3 linked regions of the Oreochromis niloticus genome follow. The protein of the gene in region 1 interacts with the protein of each later gene in a pairwise test. Links are inferred from orthologs where the notes say so. Each region holds a gene or a part of one and is shown in the gene's direction. Other genes may lie near its edges. The genes, in order: zinc finger BED domain-containing protein 1, efhc1 and lrrc20.

Region 1 (7,800 bases):
GGTCAACTGTGCGAAAGCTGCAGTGGCGCAGACACGGTTCAGGTGGCCGGCCGTGCAGACAGCAGCGGTGGCGGCGACACAGGCGAAACAAATCAGAAGACCGGCCACGCGGAAGGCAGCAGTGGCGACAGAACAGGTCCGGAGGCCGGCCATGCCGAAGGCAGCGGCGGCGACAGAACAGGTCTGGACACCGAAGGGAGTGGCGGCGACAGAACTCGTTCAGGAGGCCGCCCTCGACGATAATGATGTCCAGCTAGGGCCTGGGGAGCGGCCGGCGAAGGCGAGGTGGTACAGGCCGAGCTGGATCTGATGGCGGTGTAGCAACCACGGGACCAGACAGCAGCGTGGCAGCTGCGGGACCAGACGGCAGCGTGGCAGCTGCGGAACAGGATGCTGCAGGCGACGGTGTGGAAGCTGCAGGCGGTGATGCTGTAGGCGACGGTGTGGGAGTTGCAGGTGGTGGAGCAGGTGGTGGCTGAACGGGCTCCCCAGAGCCGTCAGCGGACACGAGGATGTGATGGCCGGGTCCTCCAGGACCCCCAGCTGACGAGGTGTGATGCTGGACGGGCTCCTCGGACCCACCAGCTGACGGGGCGTGATACTGGCTGGGTTCTCCCGAACCCCCAGCTAAAACAGAGGACGACTGGACGGGCCCCCGGACTCTCCAGCGGAGACAGGTGGCTGAACTCTCTCTGCTCTCTCTTGGTGTCCGCTCTCTCTGCGGTAGAGTATCACTTCCTGTTCCTGCTCAAACACAGTTGTGTTTTTGAGTAGTCTGACAGTGGACTCATCTCTGTGCTTGTCCTGCTAGACCTCAGTGCTGCGTTCGATACTGTTGACCATAATATCCTATTAGAGCGATTAGAACATGCTGTAGGTATTACAGGTACTGTACTGCAGTGGTTTGTATCATATCTATCTAATAGACTCCAATTTGTACATGTAAATGGAGAGTCCTCTTCACACACTAAGGTCAATTATGGTGTTCCACAGGGTTCAGTGCTAGGACCAATTCTGTTTACATTATACATGCTTCCCTTAGGCAGCATCATTAGAAGACATAGCATAAATTTTCACTGCTATGCAGATGACACGCAGCTCTATCTATCCATGAAGCCAGGTAACACACACCAATTAGTTAAACTGCAGGAATGTCTTAAAGACATAAAGACCTGAATGGCCGCTAACTTTCTGCTTCTTAATTCAGATCAAACTGAGGTTATTGTACTCAGCCCTGAAAATCTTAGAAATATGGTATCTAAGCAGATTCTTACTCTGGATGGCATTACCTTGGCCTCCAGTAACGCTGTGAGGAACCTTGGAGTCATTTTTGACCAGGACATGTCCTTCAATGCACATATTAAACAAATATGTAAGACTGCTTTCTTCCATTTGTGCAACATCTCTAAAATTAGAAATATCCTGTCTCAGAGTGACGCTGAAAAACTAGTTCATGCATTTATTACTTCCAGGCTGGACTACTGTAATTCTTTATTATCAGGATGTCCTAAAAACTCACTGAAAAGCCTTCAGTTAATCCAGTCGTTCCCTAGCCTTTTTTGCCAGGCCCCCCTTTGTTTTACAAGAAAAATGTTCGCGCCCCCCGCACAAACACATCCTCCAAACACACACACCCATATTTTGTTTACAAACTCCATTGCGGTTTATTTCACACCTCAAACATTTAGTAAACAATTAAGCAAATACAAGTAAACGGCAATAAATTACAGGTAGTAATAAAATACACTACTAACTCTTTTACGCTACGTCCACACCTACACGGGTATTTTTGAAAACGCAGCTGTTTCTGTGCGTTTGGGCTTTTTGTCAACACGTAAACGGCGTTGCGATTCACCGAAAACGGAGATTATTTAAAACTCCTTTTTTGCGTTTACGTGTGGACGAGGATTACAGAGTTCGTCACGCAATGACAAAGGTATGTGCCTCTTTTCACGTCACGCTGTGCGCCACGTTATTGTTTACATGAGATGAATTGCAGAATGGCAGATAGAGACAAAATACTGTTAATCTGACTATCTTCAGGTTTTACACACAGTTACTGTCCCTCCATTTAGAAAGGCAGAGGCGTCACGGTGTAATTATTTTACGTGTAGTTGTTTTTTCCTGTGTAATAATATTCAACATTGCTGTCAATACATTTTTTTAAAAAATGTCTCTCTGTGCAAAATGGGTTCAAAAACAAAAACAGCTGTGGGATACTGTTTGTCCGTGATTTGAACCGGGGGAACGAACAAATTACGGCAGGATCAGCCTGATATTATTTGTATCCCACTGTAACTTTACTGCATAAAGAGCTAACATGTCCAAAATGTCAGGAGTAATAATGGATTGGATTTCATATAGCGCTTTTCAAGGCACCCAAAGCGCTTTACAATGCCACTATTCATTCACTCTCACATTCACACACTGGTGGAGGCAGCTACAGTTGTAGCCACAGCTGCCCTGACAGAAGCGAAGCTGCCATATCGCGCCATCAGCCCCTCTGGCCAACACCAGTAGGGTAAAGTGTCTTGCCCAAGGACACAACGACCAGGACTGAGAGCCCAGGGATCAAACCGGCAACCTTCCGGTTACAGATGCGCTTCCCAACCCCTTCACAACCATAAAGAAGAAATAGACTATACAAATAAGCTGTAATATGTTATATATAAACGTACCTGTCACAATTACGGGGACCTCACAGCACAAGCATTACTCCCAACCTATTATAACAGTGTCTTGTACTGTAATATATGTAATGTTTTATTTATCTGTTATCTTTACAAATGTCATCAAGTAAAGGGAGAACACAGCATGACACATGATCAAACAAGGAAAGTTTCTTCTTTAAAATGATTCATTAGTCGAGTGGACATCACATCATTTTTCAATCAAATACATGTTCAGTGATCACTCAGAACTGTCACATTATATTAAACAGAAACTGCCAACTGAGCTCTGAGAGTGGGCAGTTCATTTAATTTGTAGATTCAAGCTGCGCTTCATGTTTTTGCCCACCAGATGGCACCAAAGCAGACTGTATTGAAAACTTTGAGTAATTAAGCCTTCCTCAGTACAAGCTTCAACGCTTCAGAAAGCTTCATTAGGCCACCACTACTGAATAGCCATATTAGTTTTATTGTAGTGTATATGGTAGGCTAAACACCTACCGTCTGATTAATAGATGGCCTGCTCTAACTCCTGAACTACAGCCAAAGATGTGGAGAATGAATCTGCTGAAGACCAGAAAATGTCTGTTTGTTAGCAAAAGTATGTAGACAGGTGGAGTTACAGCTAGAGCTTTTTGAAAGGAGCAGTGTTACTAATTTAATTTGAGTGAATAAAGCATGTGACCATAGAGTGGAAAATCACTAATGCATTACACTGTGAGACAAAGAGGGAAGTGTTTCTGGAGATGCAGATTTGGGTTTTATACCCATATAATCTTATTGAGTGTGTGACTAATGACAGATTTGTTGCATTCCTTTTTGTTGGAATATCCAGCAGCATTACAAAAAGATCTAAACTGATTGGCCTTTGATTTAATGAGCTAAATATTCACTTTTAAAAACGGACTTTTATTCTAGTCTGAACATCAGTGTTATTGGTGACGAGATCAAGATTTGTTAAATATTTGCAATAAATCAATCATCTTTACTAATATTTATGCTTTTGTTGCAAAGAACCAGGAGGAACTAGATTAGAGGTGAGTTTATCTGAGAGACCGCTCAGGTTGGAGGCCCTAAAAATGCTCCTAGATTTCATTTCCTGGAGACTTTATCTGTGTGTCTATTTATTTACTGCCTTTTTGTGGCCAGCTGAACCTGTTCTTGCAGTCTGCATCATTGCAGTATTACAAATCAGCATAGATAATGTTTGGAGCATATCACTACACTGTAACCAGGATTTAGACTTAAAGCAGTATTAAGTTAAGCTTTAGTGTTTGAGTTTACATCATTCAGAGGGATGTTTCAATCCAAACTATTATGTGATAGATTACAGTCTCGTGTCACTGTAAAGCTCCCTCAGCAACAACAGAAATCCTCAACAGAAAATATCTGAGCCCCACTCATACAACAAGTTTGACATATTTTTATTGTCTGTAGGTCTTCCAGTTGGGACTGGTTAATGTCTGCCTAGGAATAGAAATTTCAGTTAGTATGGCAAGTTTGGTTAAGCTGGTGGAAAATATGACTTTAACATTTACCTGATGTGTAAACTAGTTATTAGTAGTGATGGTCTGTGAAGCTGAAGCTCCAGTGCATGTGACAAAAAACAAACCACACTGTGCTTCAGAAGCTCTGTGTCAAGGTACCCCTGTCCCACCACTGCGATATATTGTTTTATTTTGTATTCTATTTTTATTGTTGTTAATGTTGATGAATGGCACCTCATCTCTGCCCCTACTTTAACCCAGCTGCTATGGCCCAATAAGTATAACGTCTAAATAAGGCCATCAAACAGCTCACAGCCTCTTTATACACAGCGGGTTATACTATCAGAAACTACAAAGTACCAATACTGTTATTGTTGACATAACGACAGCAGGATGCATTGATTGTGGCTGTTCAAACTAAACAGTGTTCACAGCTTTAGCTGAATAACATGTGCTGAGGAAAAAGAAGAAAATGCGTTTCAGCTCATTTGGTTCCACCCTCAAGAAGTTATGACGCAAAGAGGGCGGAACCACTGACAGACTTATCCCAGTGAGGCGTCCACTCGGACTCATTAACGGAAGCACACTCGGACTCGGAAGCTTTTCGGTGTGGGAAGCAGAAGGATGTCGCCTCAGTCGGTGCTGGTGCCTCTCTTCAAACTGTACTTATGCGGAATTAAAGTTCTTCTCTACCAAATTTTCAACCGCTCCTTTACGCTCCCAGGTCAGCTCCGCTTCTCTCTCTTACAAAGCTCTCTGACTGTCTGCTCGTTTGTGCCTGATGCATATTTATCATGATCCATGTGCAGTACTGATGTCGTCATCGACAGAAGCGCGTGCAGGTATAAAGCTGTTCAGTCAGCTGTAAGAACTAGTCACAGGAAACGGAGAGTTTGAAGAACTCGTTAGTTGTCTTTGTAATTCTGGACCGATCGATAGTGTGAGGAAAATGTGATTTATGTCAGAGACGGGCGGTGAGTGTGTTTGCGGCTGAACAGGTGTTAAATAACGTTTTCTAACTCGCAAACGGTTGGATGCTGGGATGAGATTAAACTGAGATGATTCTTACGGTGAGTCCGTCTCCTTGTGGGCACCTGCGCGGGCTGTGACCCACCTGTACCTGCGCTGAGACGCAAAGTGACTCCGATTGCATCAGAATAATCATGTTTTCAAAGGAGGTTCATTTAATTTTCATTATCAATCATTTGTTTTTATTTCTTACACTGATTCATGTTTGTACACTTTCTGTGATGGTGAATGCACTGACTGTTGTCCCTTTACAACCACGTTTCTATGCTTTTTCTATTGAAGTGCATTAAAATTTCCCCAGGGACAAGGCTTCACACCTCACTGAGCTCATAGGCACTATAGTAAAGGTGTGACATAAGACCCTGCTTTGTCTTTAGAAATGCAAAGAAAAATCTGGTGGAGCTGTAACAGCCTGGGTCCATTAAAACAGTGACAGAGGTCATAAGTGGCGGCTCTCTGAAGCATGTTTTTACCAGCTATTTTAGTCCAACGTAAACTATGTTTATACAATATGTAATAAAATAATAGTATATGTGAATACAAACTTTTATTTTTAACCCTAACAGAACTCAGGGGTTAAAGTGGAGTTCAGCAGGTAGGGGAACATCAGCTGTAGTACTTTAACATATCTGAAAGGATCCCAGTGATTCGTGCTGTGAGCTCCAGCAGATCGCTGGCTGTGTCCCAATTCAGGGTCTGCACGCTTGAAGTACGCACACTACGCGTACTACGTACGGTGCGTACTACAAGTACGAGAAGTGCGGAAGTGCGAGGCTTGTGAAATGGGACGGTCTAGCCTTCGTCGCGCTGTTCAGGTTGCCTAGCAACCATGATACTAACCGCGAGAAATGTTTCATACAGCTTTGTGTGACAGAAATGAAGGAGAAAAATGTTTTGTTGTTCATTCATTTTTGTCATGACATCACTTTGATTAGTTGAGACCACAGGACTGTAAAACATGATAGTTGGGCTTCATTTCTGTACTGAACAGTCATTTCAAGATTAGTTAGTAAATAATAATTAGCTAATGTTGTTCATGAGACTAAAGTCATCTCACTGTGGTAATGTTAATATAATATGGACAATATTATAGTATTGGCAAAGATTCAAGTTGCAGTTATTTATATTTCCTATCACCTTAAATCTTCACTCAAAGACAAGTATCTCTGACAGTGTATATACAGATGTATTATATATAAGAGACGAACATTGTTCTTTCAATATGTTGGCATTATTACATTTGGCTCAATGCTTACATATATGTGTAAAAAGCAAATGTACGAGCTGTGATAACTGTTTCTGATTGAATGAAGATCAGACTGATATATGAAATATTCCTTTATTAGGTGAGAAAATCAGAGCATGTCATAACTGCTTTAAGTCATACAGAATAGATATCAGAGCCTTAAACAAACTGAGGGACCCAGTCTGTCCTCACTCTGGACACTTGCAGTTGTCACACATGGAAATCAAATGTGTGATAAGCTGCAGGATTCAAACACAAGTGTAACTTATAAATACATGTTCATACTTTTATTCCACAATCAGAGAGAAAGAAACAGAGAGAGAGTGCAGGACAGACAGACAGGTGACAGTCTCAGGTGTACACACTGCTACAAAACAGCACAAGAGAAGGAGGATTTAGTGTTTGTGTTATTACGAGTGCTAAACAAGAAGAGTTCCAGATGGTCCAGTGGACACATGTGTGACTCCTGTGATTAAAGCATCTTTCTTTCAGCTTAACGAGTGAACCGTCAGCTCGTTCAAACACACGTTAAAGTCCGTTTGGCTCGACACCACCGAACAGAGGCAGCAATATAACATAGCTAACATTAACAGTGCAGTGAATCCTGCTTGTGCCGTCATATTCAGGACTGCAAACCGAGCAGCATCACTGACTTTCAGCTTGTTGTGTTTGTGGATATATGACTGACTTTAATTATCCATAAAATCATCACATTCTCTGTAAGATTAAGGTCGACTATATATATATTTAGAAGTAGAGGCTTTAAAACCAAGTAAACGCTGAAAGTACAAACATCACTAATGTCACATAACTTTGCCGACACGTGGCCAACAGTAATGTTTTAATGTTCTTAAACATTCGCACATAAATAAGTGACATCATATTCAGTACTTACTTTTGACAGTTCACTCTTCGGCCGCTCCCTTCTGCCGTATTTTGCGGCAAAATTATCCACACCCACCGCCGCGCTATGGATTGTGGGATATATGGGACCACGAAGCGTGCACCGGACCACGCTTGATATTTGGGGAAATCGACGGCGCATTTGGAGTACACTTGGAATTGGGACAGCCGTCGTCGCGTGGCGGTGACGTACTCGCACTTAAAATGCGTACTTCAAGCGTGCAGACCCTGAATTGGGACACAGCCCCAGTGTACCTCTGATTAGCTGCCATGTGTGACCACTGCTGCTCCATAGTCAGTGTTGGGAAGGTTACTTTTAAAATGTATTCCATTACAGATTACAGATTACATGCCCCAAAATGTATTCTGTAACGTATTCCGTTACGTTACTCAATGAGAGTAACATATTCTGAATACTTTGGATTACTTAACATATTATCAAGCTTTTAACAACTACATGAATGTA
Region 2 (7,993 bases), on another chromosome or scaffold:
CTCATCAGCGAGCACTTCCAGTATAAACTGCATTTATCAGATAAAGAGAGCCCGACACACCTTAGAGACTCTGCAATTAGAGGTCATTCCTGCGTGTGACAAATCACCAGAGTATGCTTACCTTCATTGACAAAAGAAATAAAGCATGTAAAAATGACTATGCAACCACACACACACAGAGAGCTCAGGTCACTAAACTAAATGCTTCTGTTTATTTTGACTGTTTGAGGTTTGGTTGCTTTTTTCAGTGGAGCTAAACTTGCAGTAGTTCCACCATACCCCATAAACAACTACGTCAGGTAAACTAAAGGCAGCTGTAACATGAGTATGAATCCCTGTAATTAATTCATGGTGCTCCTGTTTTCTCTCTCTTTCTCACACTCTCTTTGCAGTGAGCGCACAACAAAACCCAGCTGGTAAACACTGAAAGAAGTGAAAAAAGAAAAATCTAGAGCAGGAAGTAGTCGTTCCCATCTATAAATAGACTTTTTTGTTCTAAGATTTTGGGAAACTTTTGAAATGTCTCCAGAGTGCAAACTTTTCCATGTGGTTCTCTGTTAATGACCTGAGTCAGAATGGATTTAACCGAAAAGGATGTTGTGTTATCTTCTGAATCACAAAGCTCCCTGTGAATGTGTACGTGTGTGTGTGTGTGTGTGTGTGTGTGTGTGTCTTATGCGTGACGCATCTTTTTAGAAAATTTATGTGATAAAATCTTCCCCAAACCACTGTGAGACTGTAGGCGACTGAGACTGATGTCATTACAATGAATCAGCAACAGCAGATTCTGGATTTACTGTAAAAGCAGCACCATCATAATGTAACTGTACATGTAGCTGCTGTAAATTACTCATTGTGTACTCATGTCCTGTTAATTTACATTTTTTCCAGAAAGGAAGAAACCCAGGGAGACGAACGCCGACGAGGAAAAGTCTTTTGAAAACGGAAAAGGAGGAGAAGAAAGAGAAGAAAGTCCATTGCGTCCCCCGGACATGAATCCCGTCATCAACTCAACATCGAGTGGCAACATGGCCCTCATTAGTAACGCACTGGCAGCCTACACTTACGTATTAGGTCGGGTAACATTGTTCTGAAATCTACTGTAACATCACATGTATAGCGTAATGTCTGGCAGTTAGACTTTTAGAGATCTTAACTGCATCTGCTTACGGAGTGGCCCCACAGTGTAAAGGTTAATGCATTCACCTTGCAGCTTGGATAAATGGGAGGGGTGCACCAGGAAGGGCATCCGGCGTAAAATCTGTGCCGAATCGAAATATGCAGATCCAACCGCTGTGGCAGCCCCTCGGGAAATAAGGGGCGGACGAAAGAAACTTGATCTCTTTGGGAAAGAGATACAGTTAGCAAACAAAAAGGCTGGACCTCTGTGTTCAAGAGCATTATCAGCTCCTGGTTGCTTCTTGGCCCATGAGATTAGTGACCACGGGACTGCACTGCATGGATTGATGTGTGTAAAATCCCCGTTTCCCATTTCTTGTCACTAAAAGGTGGGTAAATGTGGGCCAGAGGATGTAAGCAGAGATAATGTCTCTATACATTACACAGTGTGGGTCACCTGCTCTAAGCAGCTGCTAAAACAGTCACTGAAATAGTTTGCCTGTTTCCTGCTATAAACAGTTTATACATAGTGAAATGTGCAGCACAGAAGGTCAAATAAATACACAAGGCATGCAGTGAACATGAGCTTAGGTGGTTACTTAGATCACTTAGCTTTTAGCTTTCTTTTAAGGTTTCCTCAGAATGCAAAAAAGGTTGCACGTTATGATTTCAAGAAGAATTCTCAACGTCTTAATGGTACAAGAGAAATGAAATTGATTATATTAATGAACAATAATATAAACAGAAGTATCTGCAGCTAAGCTGGATGCAGAATGCAAATGCAAAGTACCTGCATGCAAAATGCAAGGAAGACATGAAGGATTCAAAGCTGAAAATGGCATTCATTCATTGAAAAGGGAGAGCTGTTCTCGTCTCGTGCAAATGGAGCTAGAGTCACTTTGGTTTTTTCAGTGGTGAAACACAGATCCCATCAGAGCTGTGACATCTGTTGAAGATGAAAACCAGGAGTAGCAGAATCTGTAAGACATCTTAACTAAACCAAGCCACGTGAACACTTGCTGTGCAGACAATGTTCATTACACTGAGTGAAACGCATCTGGCTAAACAGGTCAGGAAAAAATAAGAAACCCAGTGAGAAAGACTCAGCTTAGTGTTCGACACATTTTCCTCATAAAGTCAACTAACAAGTTCCAATTTCTCTTCTACAACAGACCACCCAGAGAGGGCTGCACTATTCTTTGTCTGCGGTGTGTGTTTGGGCCTCTTCCTCACCCTCTTTGCCCTGGTAGTACAGATCTCCTGTCGCACCGACTGCCAGCCCCGCCAGCGGCCTCCCGCCAAGAAACGACCGCGTCCTCCCGACTCATCCTCCGATTCCAGCGACTCGGACTCAGACTGGGACACCACCTCAGATCTGTCGGCGCGGAGACACCGGCGCTTTGAGCGTACGCTCAACATGAACGTGTTCACGTCGGCGGAGGAGCTGGAAAGAGCACAGAGGCTTGAGGAAAGGGAGCGAATCATCCGGGAGATCTGGATGAACGGACAGCCGGACATCCCAGGGACACGGAGCCTCAATCGATATTACTGAGGACTGCAGAGGAACGATTGATAGGCGGCTTACTTAACTCGAACAAAAATTTAGAACACACTTGGGTTGGAGTGGAAAGGGACAAGGCCTCGATGAAGCTTTATAAGCATGAATGCAAAAGCAGCTGGACTCATACTGATGAGAAAAGTCGAAGGTACTGCAGACTTTTAAAGAAAGTCCTCCTTCTCTGCTGATTTGCATATTCCTCTGGGTATCATAAGCTATTCCCCTTTTGAGTAAAACAATAAGCTCCCTTTCTGTATGGTAAGCTTACCTCTTGGCTGGAGGAAGCAAGAGGTGAAAGGCTGCACTGCCTTGCCCATGACCTCCGCAGGCCTTTTTGAAGTGGGGATTTATGGGTTAGCTGCCTTAGACATACATAGGCCTGCAGAGACTACATGGTGACTGAAGGACCAAGGCCTCAGACAGGTCTGTTTATACAGAACCCCAGGCAGCTGGAAGAGACTGTGACACTTACAGCTTTATGTTCTGTACCCTCCAGTATTCAAGTGTGAACTTTAGCAGAGGGGTAGCATAAAGCAAGTGCACTTGACAATGTAAGATAATCTTTCCACAGTGAATAACCATGCTGCCTTTTGAGCTTTATAAAACCAAAAGATATTTTTGTGGGAATTCATCTCAGCCCTTCTGAAATATATTTTAAAATATTTAATAGTTTATTAATATTGCGTATTTTTGTTGTCAAGTATGGTTTATTATGAGATATTTTTATACTTGGCGAAGGTTGTCTGGTCTAGCACCTCAGGGATGCAATCCTAGTGTTTCTGTGTTTGGTTGATGTTTTTTTTTTTTTTTTTGGTTATTAAGAAGGGGATCGGCCCATTTAAACCGCTGTGCCAGCATTTAAAGAGGAGAACTAGAAATATCATATAAAGAGCCTCAAAGAGGTTTTAGTGATTTTAAACCTTATTTTTGATACAGTATGTTTAACTCACAGTGCAGTGCCTTTTCCAGCTGTTACATCTCTTTGTCAGAAATGAAGCTGATGAGTCTCTCTGTAACTGGTCAAATTATTTATTGATTGGAAATCATAAATTCATCTCGTTGTATGCATATTCCCTTTGCTGAGGTGGACCATGCGTAAAAGCTGAATGCGTCTGTTAAACATTGCACTTCTCCCCAGATGTAAATGTGCATTACCAGTAAATGCCAATTTCTATCAGTGACTTTGCTACAAAATATTTTTATGGTCTTGTCTCATGACAGATGTGTGAATTTCAGGTCTTGCGCCATCCATGTATTCATTTCAAAGATGCTAAACAGATGCCTGTGGAAACCAGCGCTGCAGAAAGTGGCGAATCATGTCGCCACTTTAATCTTATAACCAGTTGACAGTCCAGTTCTGCTCGTGCTTCCCTGACTTCAAGCGTAGAGTTAGTTTTCATAAATCAGTTTGGTATTTTTCTGAGCATAATTAAAGAGTAAACAGGACATATTAAGGTCATCTTCACAACACTCCCTCCACCATACATACACCCTGCACTTCTCCTAGTTTTTTGTTTTTTTTTTAATAACAAAGATATTTGTTGTGTTTAATTTTGAATGGGATTAAAATGTGCCAATAACTGGTGACGTGAGAGACCAAAATATGACTCCTGTGCTTGGAATAAACTGTGTTAAAAAATAACGTCTTTTTTTTTCCTTCTGCACTTTCTTCTGAAAAAACAAGCTGCAACTGTGTACATTGACCTATATTTTTGACTTTAAGACTATATTGTGAGTCTCAGGAAAAAGAAGACGCTTTAGCCTAATTCAAGGACTGAGAATACAGGGAGTTCATAAATAATACTGATTTACACAAGGAGGCCATAAGACAGCATGAAGAAGAACTCGTGAGCCAGTGGCTCACTGGATCTGTAAGATTTGTTATTGAGCGCCACCTTGTGATGAAGACAGATCTCTACAGTGTGTTTTAATGCAGCACATAAGGAGTGAAGTTAGTGACTGCAAATCACTTTGGCTAGCTATACAAAGTCAGCACAACTATATAGATAAATGCATTTGTTTTAGTGGGTATAACATAAAAAAATACTGCATCAAATTAAAAAAAAATAGAAATTATAACAACTTAATATCATGTTATTATATTGTATTTTATTTTTGCCGTTTTTATTTCTTTGTTTCTGTGTTTGCCGCTGTGAATTTCAGTATTTCCTTGGGTTTTTACCGCGAATTTAATTTTGTTTTAGGAAATATTTGCTTTGTTTCCATTGAGACGCCCCTGTCGTTACCATGGATACCATAAACTTACCACGGTGAGAGCTCTCGTGCAATTTTACACACCAACGAAACCTGCTGTTAAATCCACAAATTACACAATTACCACTGCTAACATCTTGTGCAAAGGAGGAGATAAAAAATATATATATATATATATCAAGACTGGAAATGTCTTGTACCTGGAACAGCCACGGACTACCATTTTTACCGGGATATACATTTCGAGATGTGACGGTAAGAATATGATTAAACAAAACTATAGGGTTTGCTTAGTAGTTTGAAACATTAACGATTGACAGAGTTTTACTTCTTTTCTTTTTTTTTTTTTTAAATATTTGTCGATTATTTTTTAATAATGCAGATGTCTTCTTACATTCCTCCACTAGTTAGGTTGTTTAAGTTGCTAAAGTACTAGCCAGCTCTCGAGTGACCTTTAAAACATCCCGGATGTTCTCTAAAGAGTCTTTGATAATTATTGGTTCTTTTATAAGGTTATTTTATTTTACCAAGCCCTAATAAAAATGAACAGCAATGCTCTGAATCATAATAACACATAATTATTATTATTTTTTCATAAAATTAACAAATTCACTGTTGACAGTTAACACAGAGAGAATTTATCCCAGGATTGTTGCTATCCATTCTTGCTATACTTTAGGGATGTTATTGTTATTTTGTCTTCCTACAGGCATAGCGCTCAATACTTGATCTACAGTACTGTTCAGTAGTCTTGAGCCACCCCTCGGAAATGAGAAATGGGTGCAAGAATGTATTGGAACATGTGCAAACATACATGGGAATACAGTACTGAAGGCAAAAACTGAGTTTGTACAATTCTAATCACCCTGAAAGTCAATATTTGGTCTGAGCACCTTTATTCTTCAACACAAACAGAACTCTTAGGCAACAATGCTTGTCATTTCTTTAAGTAGTGTTCGTGAATAGTTCCCCAGGCCTCTTGGGGGACATTTAAAAATCTTCTTTGGATTCTAGCTGCCTTTTGTTACATTAACAGGGGTGGTAGCTCAGGAGTTAGAGCAAGTCATCTACTAATTGGACAGTTAGTGGTTTGATCCCTGGCTACAAGTATGGCCAAATTTCCTTGGGTAAGATACTAACCCCAAGATGCTCTCCAATGTGAGTGACTGGTTTATAAAAAGCACTTGGGTGAATGATGTTGGATTGTAGGGAGTAGAAAAATGCTATTTAAAGAATTATCAGAACATTGAGGTCTGGACTCTGGGGAGGCCAGTCTATCACTGATTGTGCTCCCTTGTGTATTTTTCTATCCAGTTATGCCTTCACCGCATTGGAAGTGTGTTTTGGCAAAAAACAAAAAACAAAAAAAAAGGTTTCGGCAATTTTATGGATTGACATGATTGATCAAACTCGGTTCATAATTCAATTAATTTTGACACCGCTGTCTGAAATTCAGCCCCAAACCACAACAGACCTCCACTGTGTTTTGCTCACGGGTGCCTAATAAACTGTGTTTTCTGTGTTCTGTGTTAATGGGAACAGATGATGTGTTTTTGTGACAGTATACTAGTAAGATAACTAGAGATATATTTTTAGATTGTTATGTTGTAGTTTTCTGCTATGTGTAGACAACACTGGCTCATTGCTTGAGTTAGGTGTCTTTTTTAATGCTTCAGTCATTCATAGGTCAATGTCAAGTGAGTTAACAATTAAAGAATTCCTCTAAAAATGGTCAGGAACAAGGACTTGAATTAAAATCCTTGAAAAAGCAGCCAATAGAACAACGTTAAAAGACCTTAAGAAAGCCTGGAGAATTATTGGCTACTTGGAACAAAATATACACAAGGGGTGGCTCAAGACTTGCACAGACTACTGTAACATTGGACAGAACACTCCCATATTGGTATTTAAGTGTAAACCACATCAATTAGTGATAAGTGCTTCATATAATTACATTTCTGTCTGTATTTACCTGAGCTAATTTATTTCTTCCTCTGTGTTTGCAGAAGTCAGCCTTCCATCGACCCCAAACTCTGAGCTATAGGAATGGTTATGCTCTGCCCCGACGTCCCACTGTGGGCATTGGCAACGACCCTCTTTTATCAGAGCAGCTCACTCAACAAGAGATTAGTGAGTTAGCCTTCGAGACACCTGACCTTACTTATGGCCCCTTTGGTAAAAGAGTACATGAAGACTTCCTCCCTGCTCATGTGGCCCTTGACAAGAAGGTTTGGTAACACCTATAGTTGTAAAACTCATAAAAACATAAAGGTTCTTCATCTGTTATTCATCACTACCACCTGTCTTGCAGGCGCTGCGCTACTATGGATATTTTATGGAGGCTATTTTGTATTCCCCTGAAGAAGAGTACCGTGTACGCCCTGTGGTAATTTACTATTACCTAGAGGATGACAGCATTTGCATTATCGAGCCCACAGTAGAGAACTCTGGGATACCACAGGGAAAGCGGATCAAACGCCACCAGTTGCCCAAGAATGAACGTGGAGAGCATTACCATTGGAAAGATCTCAACCTTGGTATGGACCTGGACGTGTATGGGGTCAAATACCGCATTACCCAGTGTGATACCTTTACTAAGGTACAACCTTATGTGTTTGAATGCTGTGGAAATGAAACTATGCATTAGAAGTCTGCTGTTATAAATACACTTCCTGCGTGTTCTGATCTCTCATTCTTTGTACAGGAATTCATGGAAAGTGAAGGCATGATTGTAAATGACCCTGAGCTAATGCCAGCGGATCCTTACATCATGCGTCGTGAAAACCCTCCACCGTGTCACACTACACCTTCCACATTTGATAATTTGCACAAGTTTCTCAAGATGGACCGCAAGGTAAATGAAATTCTGTCCTTTCCAAGCTGACTGTGTTACATTTATCACGTTTAGCACTGTCACATCACAGCAACGTCCAAGGTTTGAATCCACCAATCTTGATTTGTGTTAGAGTTCTAATAAGTGTTAGAAATTAAATTCCTGGATTGGGTATCCCTGCCATGAAATAAATGGCAGATATAATAGAGGCATGCCTGTATTTGTAGTTTCATTCTTCTACACTTTTTTGGTCAGGTGTTACGCTTCTT
Region 3 (7,241 bases), on another chromosome or scaffold:
GAATGGGTTATGTTGGGAAAAAGCATAAGCAGCTTTGATTACTGAAATCCTCTCATCATGAAGTTCTAGAGGACATATATTATTATTTTCTCACCAGATAAGCCTGCATGTTCATTAAATGTTTCATTTTTTAAATTTAACTGACTTCTGTTATGAGGTAAATAAACTTTCAATTGAACTGAAAAACATTTTAGGTTAAAATAATTCCTGTTGGCCGATTAAATCCACTAAACAAGCAAAACACATAAGGTTGAAGCTGTAGGCCTTCTTATTGATTTGCATCTTCTTTAATAAAGCTGTTACAGGCTGCACACTGAAAATGTCATGTCATAGTTAAGATATATGTTGCACTTATACCTTACATAAGTTTATTAATTTGGTAGGACCCTACATTATCAGAAAAGTAACCTTCAACAATCCAGTGATCACCTTTAACAAGCACTTGGAGATTTTGAGGAAGGAAAAACGCTTAGAGAAATAGATTTCCAGCAAAACCAGGCTAACAAAGTTGCAGCTATCTACCACCTGTGTGGTGAGGAGGGAAAGACAGCAATCTAATGTTTGGTAATATAATAATGGTGATGTTTTGTTTTTTTTAATTTCCCACACAGGTGGTTGTTTGTTGGTTTACATGCATCAGTAACACACAATAATGGTCCTGATTTTGGCATAATAATCAGTCATTATAATCTGTGTCATACAAAGTGCTCTTCAATTATGCTAATTCTTCCATTTTTGCTATATCAGATTTGACGTACAGACATAGATCCTGGGTGGCGACCTTTGACCTCCACACGCTGGGAGCTGACAAAGAAATCCAGGCAGCAGAGTTGAGAATCAAGCTACCTCGGACAATGAATGTTTCCAACATTAGTGTGGAGGTCTATCACCACCATGACCAGGATCAGCAGCTGCTGGCACTGCTCACAGAATCGTCACTAGTCACATCATCGCAGAGCTGGAAAGTATTCAACATGACAAATCCCCTCTTGAGCTGGCTTAAAGAGAAATCAACAACAAGAATTCGCCACAAGCGAGTGTCAAGAAGAAGGAAAGCGATAAAGAAAAGGCGAGGCCTGCTTCTTCCCGATGAGCTCGTTTATGAAGCAAGTTTGACAAAAGACCAGGATGTGAGTGACCGGGCCTTGCTGGTTATCTTCTCACACACAGGGTTTGATGAAAACTCAAAGGCTAAAGCGAGCTTACTCCATACAGCTGAACAATCCAAGTTCTTCTCCCCTGCTGAAATCAAAAAGAGGCGAAGGAGCAAACGGGGCCAGAGAGAGCAAACAGCAAGAACCCCACAGCTGTTCAAAAGAGTGAGCGAAAAATCACTCTGTCGCAAAGTGGACCTGTATGTCGACTTTAATCAGATTGGCTGGGGGTCCTGGATTGTCTTTCCTAAAAAGTACAATGCCTACCGCTGTGAAGGCTCCTGCCCTAGTCCTCTGAGAGAAGACTTAAATCCAACCAATCATGCCTACATGCAGGTGAGTGCCTATCTAGATTTTCTGTTCTTACACATATTCATATTATCATCATAGGAACATTGCATGCAGACCGTTTAAAAATTCATATGCACACAATCACTGGCAGATGGATGCATCAGGGACAATTTGGAGTTTGAGCCACTTACCACATCTATCTATCTATCTATCTATCTATCTATCTATCTATCTGTCTGTCTATCTATCTATCTATCTATCTATCTATCTATCTATCTATCTATCTATCTATCTATCTATCTATCTATCTATCTATCTATCTATCTATCTATCTATTTAAAGCAATTCTGCTAACTTTTAAAATACCAATTACTTCACAATGGAAGTGGCTGAACTGTAGCTAAACCACTAAAGTACAACTTATGGAAACAGTACTTCAGACTAATATGTAATAAAATAAACTTTACGTGATCAAAAATGATAACAACTATGAAAAATCTGCAGGCAAGCAAAAATACCACTTAACTCAATTTACCGGAAGTCCTCAGTGGCTCTTGAGTCAAATAATGTTTATCTAATTATGTAATGTAATGTATTATGTAATACATTATTAGTAATAATGTAATAATGTTTTTGTTCACTAAAAAGAAAAAAATTGAGACATTTAGCTACAGTAATGTGTTAGATCAGAGACATATCATTGTGAAAATGCACTACAAACTGGTCAAGTGTGTGGCGGTGGCTGTCTGATGGATGTCTTAACAATGTTAACTTGACACCAGTTAGGACTGAAGAAAAAGGGTGGAGGGCCTCTCCAAAGGGGTTTTACAAACAGTAGAGAACAGTAATGGTAAACTATATAAAAAAAAATATTCCTGTGTTTTTCTACCCATCTCAAATACTTGAATCACTATGCAAATATGAATCATAGTTACTAGTTTTTTTGTGTGTTTTTTTTTGTTTTTTTACATTTGTTCATTCAGTACTTCCCAGCAGCAAACAAGCCCAAGGTTAGCCACTGAGGTGTGACTTAGAAATACTGGCAATGGTTAATATGTAACATCAGCTGCAAACGAATAAAAAAGAACAATTTAACATTAGTTAGAGTTTCTATAGTCCCTGCTGTAGGGAATTAGAAGAGAGGGGTTGAGGCAAGGTAAATAAACAGATGCAAAAACATCACATTCTTTTGACTTTTGTGTGGCAAACTGGTCTGTGGGTTGTTAAAAACAACCAAGAGAGCCCTGGAAGGGTCAAATTTTCTACGTTCTTGTACAGTGTTACAATGTTACAATGAAATAATTGCCATCCATCCATCCATTCTCTACCACTTATCTTTTTCAGGGTCACAGGGGGCTGGAGCTTATTTCAGCTGTCTTAGGGCGAGAGGCAGGGTACACCCTGGACAGGTCGCCAGTCTGTCGCAGGGCTATGATAATTGTTTTATTATTTTTTGTTTTGCTAATTTAGTAAAACATGAGGATTTGAAACTTTTTATGATAACAAATCTGTTTGTACTCCCTTTCCACACTATGAAAAAGGGAAAAACAAGATATCATTTTTTAATCTCAAATATGACAATTATTTATCAGAACGTCTGTGGTTTAAAGTGGTTCAAAATATTATGTTAAACACAACAAAACGTATAACAAATAGCTTAAATGAACAGAAATGTTCAAAATACAACAATCAACAAAGCAAAACAACTTACTAAATTAAGTGAAAAGCTGAATAGCAAATATCAGATGACAGTAAGTGGCTCAGTATGTCAGTAAGCTAAGACAGGATAACGCTATTACCAGATTTCTTTAAAGAACTGCAGTTATCTACAACTGACCTAAAGCCTCTCTCTTTCTTTTTCCAGAGTCTCCTGAAGCATTTCCACCCCGACAGAGTGGCCTCACCCTGCTGTGCACCAACCAAAATGAGCCCACTGAGCATGTTGTACTATGAAAATGGAGAGATGCTCCTTCGACACCACGAGGATATGATTGTGGATCAGTGCGGGTGCCAGTGAAAGCTAAAACCAGCTGCAGAGCAGGCTTAACACTGTACAGAAATTCTTGACAGAACCAAGTAATTTCTGAATATAAAATAAAATAAAATAAAATAAAATAAAATAAAATAAAATAAAATAAAATAAAATAAAACATTTATACAGAAGGAAGAAAGCACTGCAAGACTGTGTCGGAGAGTTGTACAGAGACAACATTTTGATGTGTGATGTAGGCTTTGGTTTGTTAGAATAGTTGCATCTTGAGATGTACCAAAATGTGAACTCAAAAATGGGGTTCACCTATTGTCACAAACTGAAGTTCATTCACTTTAAATTATCAATTGTTATAATTGTAAATATTTAATGGTAATGCTGATTAATATTTCAGCACAGTTTTATTGTTGACTACCATTTGTGTATATTGTTATAATGGCTATTTATATTGTTATATTATTGTAAATATTAAAATAAAATTACTTATATGTACATGTTGCACCCTTAATATGTATTTTGTTATGCTGGTTAAAAATTATATGGTGTCTAGTTATATGTTTTTTAAGATGCTACAGTTTCATGACAAATAGCATGGTGAAGCTTATGTTTAGCAACAGGATTGTGTGTGAACTGTTTCACAAAAGCACTCACACTCAAAATAGGTGGACTTTTCTAGCTGTTTCAGTCATCTACAGTAAGTGACTGCCAAATTCCTCTTACATTCAAAATAAAGCATTGTAAAAGGAATATCCAGCCAACACTCTAAAGTTGCAGTTTGTTGTAACAATGCTAAACTAGGTTCTATTCTTCTAAAGCAATAGAGCTCATTGTATTCAAATCCTTTGAAAATATACTGACTAACCAGGAACTTGCCAGATTCATGACTATGGCAGAGGTCAGACTGGCAATAGCTGACCAGGACACAGAGGTAAGACAACATTTAACTTCGTAATATCAGTTTCCACTCAGGCAGATGTGGTTATAACTATTTAATTATAGTTGAATTAACCAGCAACTATTTAAAAAAATCTTTTATACGTGTTTAATACATTTTAAATATGATTTAAGTTATTTAGTTGTGGTATTTGCGCCTTATTACTTATGGAATTCGTGTATAACGCTATTTTTTTGTTTTATATTTTAAATTTTCGTGTTCTGCAATTTCAAAGCGCAGGACTGACGCTCGTGAATATCACGTCTGTTAGCTAGCAAGCTGACCGAAGCTCATGTTTCCCTAACCGAAGCTAAGCATTAACTTGCTTTTGCATTGTTTGATAACTTCTTTGCTTATATGAGGTGATGCTAATGTATCGTACTGACCGAAAAAATAGCGCAGCAGCAAACAAGTGAGCCAGCCTCTCCCCTGGTTAAAAATACACACTCGTTAAACTTGCCTGGTGAGTTGAGAAGCTGAAGCTAAGTTAGCTAACACCGGCAGCTGCCCGTTTTGGTAACACTAGCAGGCTTGAGGTAAGTGACTTTTTTGACACAGAGCATATCTATATGTCTGTCATTGGGGGAAATTATATTAGTCTGGAAGTGTAGGTCTGACGTAGGTCTAAAGATTTTTATGTTAGCATACATGCTTTGTTTACTAGCTTTATGGTTAACCAGAAGTGAAAAGTGATCTTCATGAAGGCTCCACTGAAGCAGCGTTTCTGGGGTTTTATGTTACTGTTTCCACTTTGGGGACTTAATGCGTTTTAATATTGAAGGGCAAAAGGTGAATTTTTCTCAAGTACTCTGTAATTCAATGTAACAAATGTTTTATAAGTTGCCTTTAATATTACTTTACCACAAATTAACAGATAGTTTCAAATTAATTTAATTTTGTTTTAATTTGAGGAACAGCACTGTGTCTTTTTCTAGATCTGGAGAAAGCATATGATAGGGTCCCAAGAAAGGAACTGTGGTACTCTTAAGAGGAATTCAGGAGTGATAGAGAAGTATGTTAGGTTGGTGTAGGACATGTATGAGGACAACAAGACAGTGGTGAGGTGTGACAGAAGTGAGAGATGGGTTAAAGGCAGAGGTGTGATTCATCAGGGATCGGCTCTGAGCCCCATTCTCGTTTGCACTGGCAATGGACAGGTTGACAGGTGATGTCAGGTAGGAGTCCCCCTGGACTTTGATGATTGTTTAGAAGTGGAGATATGCACTAGAGAGAAGAGAAATGAAAGTCAATAGAAGAAAGACAGATTTCACGTGTGAGAGAGAGACAGGTGCAACAGTGAACCTGTAAAGGCAGTAAATGTAGATGACTTTAAATACCTGTGGTCAACCAAACAAAGCAACAGAACAGACAGTGGACAAGAGAGCTGAAAAGCAAGGGCAGTTTGATAGTGTGGGTGGAGACCAGTGTTGGGGGGATGTGTGACAGAAACGGCAAGCAGCAAGAGTGAAAGGAAAGGTTTACAAGATCTTAGTGATACCTGTTATGATGTATGTTTTGGAAATAATACTGCTGAAAAAGAGAGGAGGCAGAACTGGAGGTGGCAGAGTTGAAGATCTTAAGGTTTTCATTGGGAGTGATGAGAATGGATAAGATTAGAAGTGGGTATATGAGAGGGACAGTTGAGGTTGAGCAGTTTGGAAACTAAGATTGAGAAGCAAGGCTGGAATGGTCTAAACATGTACAGAGGGATATACTGAACAAAGGATGCTGAATGTGGAGCTGCCAGGCAGGAGTAAAAGAGGAAGACCACAGAGAAGATTTATGGATGTAGTGAAAAATGGCATGCAGAGAGTTTGTGTGACAGAGAAGGATGCTAGAAGTAGGGTGAGATAGAGGCAGATGATCCACTGTGTCAGCCCATAAAACAGTCACAAGAAGAAGACAACTCAACTGTTTAACCTGAGCTGTCTTTTGTTTGTGACTACTGGAACAAATAAAAAAATCCTTGCTAATTTTTCTGATCATTTTTTATTTTTTGATTGTTGATAATCATTTTTTTGAGTACAAATTAGTGCTAAACGAACAGAACTAGTAATAAAAACTTAACCAGTTCAGAATGTAAATGTAGATAACCAAACAACTAAGACCTTAATATTGTGCCAGTGCTACGTTTATTAAGCTAGAAAAGAATATGAAGAAGAATATGAATCCATCTGACTTCGTGCTGTTAATACACTTGGAGGTCAGGCCTTTACATTAAATTCTGTTAGAAATTGCCTTGTGTAAATAAAACCAGAAGTGCACAAAAATTTGGAGTGTGTCCACGTTAAACAACTAAAGTGAGACATTAATCAGTACTAGCAATCTTTAATGAGATTTAGCCTTAGAAGGTTCATTTTTAGCCTGTGGCTAAAGATAAAACAGGCATCGACTGTGTTGTGCTGACTTCAGTGGGATGTCAGCATGGGCAGCAGCTTTGACTGATAGTGTAGTTACGATTTTATCATCTTACCATTTATATGTGGAGGTATGTGTAATGTTGCATTGTGTCTCTTAGGAAAAGTTAAAGCAGAAAAATGGCTGAGGCTGTTGCAAAAGTGGCCCGGAGGATTAATGCTACCGTAGAGGAGGGAAAAGATAGTGTGGGTAAGATACACTTTAACATATTCTTTCCTTTGTCTCTCACTTAATCTTTGTTCAGAGCATATAAATGAATTTGTTGTCAGAGATAGTACCAGCAGGTGGCAACATAGGCTTAAATTTGACGGCTTCATAACTTGAAATGCCAGAATGTAATAATAAGAATAGTAAGTAATAATGTGTAATTGTCAGACTAATTATAGATTTACACTGTGTTAATGTTAATGTTTGATTATTTTATAACTATGTTCTTCTTCTTCTCCGCAGACCT

The links.
Region 2: the proteins of zinc finger BED domain-containing protein 1 (region 1) and efhc1 interact in binary tests that used the Homo sapiens proteins (3 or more experiments, as listed by UniProt). The two-hybrid records come from large-scale screens. The link is inferred for Oreochromis niloticus from reciprocal best matches to the Homo sapiens genes ZBED1 and EFHC1.
Region 3: the proteins of zinc finger BED domain-containing protein 1 (region 1) and lrrc20 interact in binary tests that used the Homo sapiens proteins (3 or more experiments, as listed by UniProt). The two-hybrid records come from large-scale screens. The link is inferred for Oreochromis niloticus from reciprocal best matches to the Homo sapiens genes ZBED1 and LRRC20.

The regions. Positions count from the first base shown.
Region 1 is NC_031986.2:2,929,110-2,936,909, reverse strand, and holds the start of zinc finger BED domain-containing protein 1, read left to right. Parts: upstream 1-4,743; 5' UTR 4,744-4,780; coding exon of another isoform or gene 4,781-4,880; intron 4,881-7,800. Other genes in the region: dhrsx (polyprenol dehydrogenase), read left to right, coding at 4,781-4,880.
Region 2 is NC_031980.2:12,763,923-12,771,915, forward strand, and holds the start of efhc1 (EF-hand domain-containing protein 1), read left to right. Parts: upstream 1-4,912; 5' UTR 4,913-5,080; coding exon 5,081-5,146; intron 5,147-6,897; coding exon 6,898-7,119; intron 7,120-7,202; coding exon 7,203-7,490; intron 7,491-7,595; coding exon 7,596-7,745; intron 7,746-7,979; coding exon 7,980-7,993. Other genes in the region: eva1aa (protein eva-1 homolog C), read left to right, coding at 892-1,074, 2,292-2,671. UniProt on the Homo sapiens protein: Microtubule inner protein (MIP) part of the dynein-decorated doublet microtubules (DMTs) in cilia axoneme, which is required for motile cilia beating.
Region 3 is NC_031973.2:12,226,717-12,233,957, reverse strand, and holds the start of lrrc20 (leucine-rich repeat-containing protein 20), read left to right. Parts: upstream 1-4,160; 5' UTR 4,161-4,363; intron 4,364-4,610; exon of another isoform or gene 4,611-4,905; intron 4,906-6,887; 5' UTR 6,888-6,906; coding exon 6,907-6,976; intron 6,977-7,237; coding exon 7,238-7,241. Other genes in the region: ndr2 (nodal-related 2), read left to right, coding at 748-1,490, 3,310-3,462.